2 linked regions of the Caenorhabditis elegans genome follow. The protein of the gene in region 2 interacts with the protein of the main gene of each other region in a pairwise test. Each region holds a gene or a part of one and is shown on either strand. Other genes may lie near its edges.

Region 1 (3,755 bases), 1.9 Mb from region 2:
TCAAACTCTCCATCCACATGAATTTCTGTCTGTTTACTTCCAGAATCTGAATTCCAAATGACCAATGCAAATCCGAGAAGGAAAATTAGAAAATGTGTAATTGTAAACTTTTCGAGCATTGCCTCTAAAACATGAATTTTGATAAATTTATTCAAAAAATGAGAGGTGGATGTTGAGAGTGAAAGGAGCGTACAATATAATTCAGCAACAGGGAAGAATTGAAAGAGATGAGACGAGGGAAAACCCGGGCTTCAAAATATTTGAAAGCACATTTTTTGGAAAACTCCAAAAAAAAACCTCAAATCACGGAAGGAAAGTTCTAGTCGGTGATGATAAGAGATGAAAGCAAATAAAAAGAGACTAATCATAAGAAAATTGGAAAAGAGAGAAAGTATACAATTTATTCATTTCTGGTGCTCCTCATCTTCATACGTGGCACCGAAAATGGTCACTCCGGCGACAAGAGCGGTGACAGTGAAAAATTGGGCCATAATACGGTACTGCATCATTTTTTGAGCTCCGACTTTGTCACCAAGAAATGAGGATCTATAGAAAATTTTGAATTTTTATGTGTTTTTTTTTGATAAATAAATTTTAGAATTTAAGATTCCTCTAAAATTTCATTAAATCTTAATTGCCAAAATAAGTTAACTTGATATATTTTAAATTTTTAACAACGATACACTATTATTAATCACGTGTTCATACATTGTTTACTAAAGTATAGAACATAGACAGAGATCAAAAAGTGTTAAAATGAGAGAAAACTGGATTTGGCAGAAAAAGTGGTAGACTACACTCTAGCTAACACTGATAAGGTCACATAAATGAAATTGATTAATACTTGTAAATACTAATAAAAATGTGTATATATATATACTAAATTAGTAATTGTTCTCGAACGTCCGAGACTAGTCTGGTGTCCTCTATGCTCCGCCCAATTTATCGGACAGGTGGTGTCTCATCTAATCTGTTCTCTGTGCTCATTTGCTCAACACAGAAGATCAAAAGTTCAGACAAATTATGCACTCAACGAGATTCACGTGAAAAGCACAGTAACTATATCAAAAAATCACAAAAATATTTGACGACCCCCGGTTTCAACACGAATTCTTTTAAATACAAACGGATGTTGTTCTTTAAAGAGTAGTTTTCAGTTTTTGTTACAGCGGAATTTTTATCGACTTCTCATAGTTTTTCGTTTCAAGTCGTGATAAAAGCCATTTGAAAAAATCGATGAAAACTTGGCAACGACAAAAGTTTAAAATTGCAGTACTCTTTAAAGGCGCACACCCGTTTGTATTGAACAAAAAATTTCGTGTCGAGACCGAAAACCGTATTTCTGGGGCAAAAGTCGCGTAACCTCGCGTCTGGGTAATACAAGTTTTCCTAAACATATTTTCGAAAAGGTTTAAATTTTTAGTTTTTCAAACAACGTTTAAAACTATTTATTTTTAAGATTTTGACACTTACTTGAACATTCCCAAAAGGGCGGCAGTTGTCAGTCCCATTCCAAGAATGACTCCTGGATTGCTCGCAGCATTTGAGACCACTCCAGTCTTCTGTGCACCGCCTGTGTTCTTTCCGCTGTGGTATCCAATGTCGACTGGAATTGCAGGGATCTGAAAAAAATTTTTTTTTTAATTTGAAACAAAATTTAACTTTATATTGTTTTAAATAATATTTTCAAAGAACTCACTCCATTGTATTTCTCGGCATTATCCATAGTTCTTGCGAGTTGTTGTGGTGTCATATGTTCTTTTTTCCATTCGTAAGATCCTTTCTTCGGCTCCTCGTGGACTCCGGCGACGTTCATGAAAGCTGTACGGAACATGCCCATTTTGTGTGAAGAGAGTAATTAACTATAATAAGAAATAGAACTTACACAAAAATAACAAAGAAACGCGTAAATAGAAAAATTAGAGCAATATAAAATGAATTAAAAAAAAAAAAACATTGAGAAGACTATATGAATGTTCGGACCGATTGAACGGATTCATCGAAAACTAAAATAAGATTAATCAATTTTCAAACATTTATGAAACACATAATTTACAAAAAAAGATTTTAGAAACCGTAACAAACGAGGAGCCAAACTAGTAAAATTGAATAAGAAATTGAGCGCTAAAATTTTTAATTTTTGACACGATTTTAACCGAATTATTTAAGAAAAAGCAAGATATTCTACTATAACTGCTCATTTCTACCAATTTGTACAATTTGATTCTGGTCAAACAAACAAATTCGAAATTTACATCTTGGTAACAACTACTCCTGCATCACGATCACGTGCGATTTTCTGAGCCATTGCTCTTTCAGCGATGTAGAATGTTGAAAAGAAGAAAAGTGAAGCAGTGACAATGAAGACTACTCGCATTCTGTCGTGCATTCTGTTCATTGTTCCATGGCTGAAATTGGAAATATTTATCTTAGACAATTTATCGGCTTTTTTTAATTTGAAGTTTTCCATTAATTCCAGGAATATGCATTTATGAAGCTTTTTTTTTTAAGATTTTCAAAGAAAATTACTTACTGAACATATGGTGGAATATCAGCGGCAGACGGGTAAAGTTTGGTAATCACCAAAAATTTTCTCTGCCACTTTGTAGGTACTTGTCCAGTTTCTGAATCGGCTGCTCCAGTAAAACGAGAATCTTGAACAGAATGTTTGAAATCGTCTTTGGTTGCGTAGGTCACACGATGTTGGTCAACCTCCTGGCCTTGTTGTTGTTCGATAATTTGGGCCTGAAAATGAATAAGTATGAAAATAGTATAATATTCAAATTAGCTTACCTTTTTTTGAGCCATTTTAGCTTCCAGCGGATCAAATCTTCGAATTGCCATACAAACAGCCGGAGTCATTCGCGATGAGGCTTGCTGTCCTCCGCATCTTATAACCGATGACAGCATTTTGACTGAAAATTTTAATTTTTGTCGATTTTAAATCTAAAGTGCAAGCTGACCGAAGAAACAAGAATAGTGATGAAAAAAAGCTGAGAAACCGCCCGTTTTTGAAACGCAGCATACGAGAGAAATGTAGTACACAAACTCCGGGCGCAACAGGAAATAGGAGAGACTCAGTGATGCAGAGAAATTTTTTATTTCGTTGAGAAGTGCCTCAGGGTAAGAAAAAAAGTATCAATATCTTCTGCATTTTGAAGAAAAATAACAGAAAAACACGAATAAATTGGAATTAAATTAATAATAATACAGTACCCCGCAAAGATGAAACTACGCTCTATTGATAAACTTGAAACGCGGTGATTCAAATTGAATTTTTCATCAATAGTCTTTGAATCTGCATGCCATGTAATTTATGTATTAATTGAAATGCTACAATCTGATTAATTTTCGAATAATTCAAACATCAATTTCAAACTCTCTCTCTTTGTAAAATTATTGAATAACGTGGAAATAACGAGCAACTTACTTAGTACTATAGAATATCAAGTAGCAAGAACCTAAAGGAAGATAAAGATAATAAAGTAATGAGGGACCATGTTGGCAAATATTCCTTTTGTCATCATTTTTCGCATGCTTTAATGATACTTTTAGGCGGGGTTTTTCTTCGCAAGATTCACGTTTCGGACCCGAAAAACGCGCGATAAGTCACGTAGGCCGCCGTCTGTCTGGTGTCTAGTGCACTAAAATGATGACAAATACGTACTCTCATTCTTTGAACGTTCCTCGTTGTCAAGTTCAAATATTTTCTCCTAGGAATCCATATGGGGATTGAGGTGCATTCAATTGTTTTA
Region 2 (3,755 bases):
TTTCAAATAATGTGTAAAAGCTGTAGGTTTTAGATTCATGAGGGTTTCGAGGAGAAACCAATCTGGCATTCAACAATAAATAGAATTAGGCCTGCCTTTTTCAAATCACAGGTTGAAGGACCGTAAATATTTGTGTCTCTAGGCATAGGTTAGGGATGGATAGAACGGTAAACAACCAAACAAACACTTTTTGAAAACTTTATTTCGAACACTTTTCTCAAGTTAAGATCCCACACGTTTTGGAGTCATTTTCAGGGGCTTCGGAGACGGAATGTACGGGATGCGAACTTCTGGGGCAGGATCCGATGGCAAGGTGGCTGGAACTGGAGCAGGGGCTGATGCGGCGGTTGTTTTGATGATGCATGGAGGATTCTTGCACGGTTTCTTGTAGAAATCTTTGTTTGCCTTCATAATCTCCAAAACATCAGGAGGAAGAAGCTGCAAAGAAGAAAATAAAAACATGTTTTGGTAAATGAAATGATAAGAGGAAATGGGTTCAAACTGACCACATCAAACTGCTTGTTGGCTTTTCCTTGGGGTGGTTTTGGAGGAGGAAGCATCACTGAATTTCCAGATTTCTTCACTCCAGCAGGTGTGCTCTGTGCACCATCGGGAGGCGGTGGAGCAGGACCAAGTGGATCAGTAGTTGTGGATCTTTCCAATGTAAGACGGACCGTTTTTGTGTTGTTGACACTCGCGTAGAGAAGCTGAAAGTAAGTTAATTACTAAAATAAAATAAGAAAAATACTACAATACCTTTCTAGCAGAGTCACGATCAAGAACATAAATGTCATTAACTTTAACAAGAATATCTCCATCCTTGACATAGTGACACGCATTGGAAGCCGATTGAACCATTGAAATAGTCACAGTTTTTGGATCAACTGCCATCTGTAAATCATCCATGAAAGTATAAATTGTCCCTGATTACTAACTCTATGAATGATAATCCCTGTTGCAGCACCTCCACGATAAGTGAAAGTCAACTCAACCATTTGAGTATTTGGACGACGTGGTGGCATTGGTTTTTCAGTGACAAGGCAATGATCGTCTCGCATGAATTCAATTGTCACTTTTCCGGGAAGTTTTGCACTAATTGCACGGATAAAGTCAGCAGTTGTCTTGATGTTCTGGAAATGTTTGATTAGTTGAAACGGAAAATCTTAAAATATTCCTTACAGTTTCTCCATTGACATTCAGAATCTCATCACCAGCAAATAGAACACCCATCAGTTGGCTACTCACATCCACATATGTAATCTGCAATGTGATTATTCAAGATCTCTTCGATTTTTGAATTGAAAATGAGTCTTTTTACAGCCTCGAAGGAAATTGCAACCGGACTTCTTATTTATTAAAGAGTGTTCTACTGTTCTACACATCAGGGCTTTTGAAGTTTTATTCGGCTCTCGACGCGAGCCCTGTGTTGGATTCTTTATTTACCTTTCCATTGACCACATCACATGCTACAACCACATTTTTCCGTTCGAATTGTACTTCTTCTTTTCCTTTTACATGAAAACTATTGTTGTTGGTTGCCATCTGTAAATAGTACGTGTCTATCTCACAGCAACCCACTCTCGCGTCTCCTGTAACTAGTCGAGCGTCTATGCCTTTGGACCCAGCGCACTCGCTGGCCTCCTTAGCTCAGTTGGTAGAGCGTGAGACTTTTAATCTTAAGGTCAGGGGTTCGAGTCCCCTAGGTGGCTTGATTTTTTGCAGTCTGAATATTAACTTACCCCGAATAGATTGATGCGAAGATGAAAGCAACTGTCGACAAGGAAATATTTGAAACTGATTCAGTTTCTCTTTTCACTTTTTATTTTCTGATTTTTTTCTGTGTAAAACGAATTCAAACGATGTCACGCGGGTATATTTATTAAATTAATTAAATTATTTATTATTAATTAAAATTATTATATTTTGATGAGATCAATGGAATGGAACAATCCAATCAGCGTTGTCTTCTGCTTTTGTCACTTTCTTTTCACTTCCTCTTACAAACTTTGAAAGTCTTGAACGAATTGTATTCAGATCTTTGCTGTATGTTGGGGCGCTGAAATTAATTAATATTAGATTATTTTCTCCTGATTTGAGTAATTCACCTATGAGCTCTAGCTTCGGACGTTGTGTCATTATCAGATTCTTCAGTTTGAACAGTTTCCATAGCTTTTTCAGCTGGTTTCATAGTTGTAGTTGTGATTCCAAGAAGACGTTGGAAACTTGGTGGCATTGTCAATGCAGGCATTGTTGGCATTCCAGGAATTGGAGTGAAAGTTGGGAAAGTATGTGGAGCAAGAGTTGGAAGAGTTGGAAGGCCTTCTGCAGACAGGACTGGTACAGGTACTGGAATGAATTGTGGAAGTGGAAGAAGTGGTGGAAGAAGTGGAAGTGTCATTGGAAGTGGTTTAGCTGGAGCTCTTTTCACTGAACGATTAGCTTTTTGAGCTGGAAGTGTAACAACTGCTGGAGCACGTCGGATTCCTGTAGAAGCTGGACGAAGAGATTTAGCAAAAGGAGCATATGCCGATAATGATGGGAGGGGTGATCTGAAGAATAGATTAAAGAAAAAATGGAATAAATGTTAAACCTTCGAACATCTCCTCTCGGTCTTAAAGCACTTGCTCTCGGTACAACTTCATAACATGCAACGAATCCTGAAATGTTGAAATTAATTGAATTTTGAAGTCAAATATATTGATCAACTGAAAATTATATAGAAGCAATTTTTCTGGACTGGTTTTTTTTGCGATTTCGTGCAAGACGAAGAAAATATGAGAATCGAAATTTGGTTATTTATAGAACGTTTCAATTTATTGACGTACAAGCAGAATTCATATTGGGTAAAATTGTTATGACTAAGAAGTTTTGGATATGTCAAATAAATTAGTTATGTATTTTTCTTAATATTTTTTAAAACAAATTTGAACATATTTTAACCCAATTAGATAAATATTTCCTTTACCATTTAGAGCTAAATTTAGGGATAAATCAACGAAACAATCGAAAAACTAACCGATGACACAAACAGCTAACAGAAGAAGCTTCATTGTTGATTCTTTCCACAAAAATGAGAAGACGAAAAAGATAGAATAAGCCTCGAAGGCGTCGCTTCTTATCACTTTTCTTCCTACGATTTCTCGTTTTGCCCTTATCAATTAGCCATCATTTTGTGGAAATCTCAATGAAAATTCCCGTTGAAAATGAAAAAAGACAATGGATATCCACCACTTGTACACTGTCTTCAATAAGATGAAAGTTCAGCTAACATTAGTTTTTACAAACAGGGATATATTGGATTATCGTGATATTGAACTTGCTAGATTTTTATTTAATTCTATGTTGTTCAGAACATTAGTGTTCGCTGTCAATTTTTAACATATACTTTGTAAAGTATCCCACTTGTGACATGGTTTTACAACAATGCTATGCAAATTTGAGGACACTCAAATAATGGGCGGGACATAGATGATACTCGAGGTGGTACTGTTATAATCGTACCATTTTTATTTTCGCAGTACAATGCGAACGTGCGTCTTCTTTTTCTGTCTACTATTCGTTATGTAAGTTTATATGAAAAAAGTTTTATTTTAAATTAAAACTTTGACACAATAAAAAGTTTCCGAAGCATCTAAAACATCTAGTGGAATCTAGATCATCTAGTTCAAAAGATTCTCCAATTGAAAAATTTGGCTGAGCTACAGAAATCGTCAAGGGAAAAATTTACAAAACTTTTTGAAATTATCAATCCAATT

Evidence for each region. Proteins that work in one complex are often made in the same cells at the same time.
Region 1: the proteins of mpz-3 (region 2) and M05D6.5 interact in a two-hybrid assay, tested with the Caenorhabditis elegans proteins (one large-scale study listed by BioGRID).

Annotation. Positions count from the first base shown.
Region 1 is NC_003280.10:8,480,355-8,484,109, forward strand, and holds M05D6.5 (HIG1 domain-containing protein), read right to left. Parts: upstream 1,850-3,755; 5' UTR 1,841-1,849; coding exon 1,700-1,840; intron 1,623-1,699; coding exon 1,474-1,622; intron 547-1,473; coding exon 405-546; 3' UTR 133-404; downstream 1-132. Other genes in the region: lact-4 (Beta-lactamase-related domain-containing protein), read right to left, coding at 1-119; taap-1 (TAil-Anchored Protein), read right to left, coding at 2,252-2,408, 2,534-2,745, 2,794-2,910.
Region 2 is NC_003280.10:6,563,612-6,567,366, forward strand, and holds mpz-3 (PDZ domain-containing protein), read right to left. Parts: upstream 1,786-3,755; 5' UTR 1,740-1,785; intron 1,710-1,739; exon of another isoform or gene 1,637-1,709; intron 1,543-1,636; coding exon 1,444-1,542; intron 1,261-1,443; coding exon 1,180-1,260; intron 1,131-1,179; coding exon 936-1,130; intron 892-935; coding exon 757-891; intron 708-756; coding exon 507-707; intron 439-506; coding exon 223-438; 3' UTR 183-222; downstream 1-182. Other genes in the region: F18C5.5 (Vegetative cell wall protein gp1-like), read right to left, coding at 1,933-2,056, 2,106-2,549, 2,591-2,657, 3,017-3,050; dbd-6 (DB domain-containing protein), read left to right, coding at 3,523-3,563.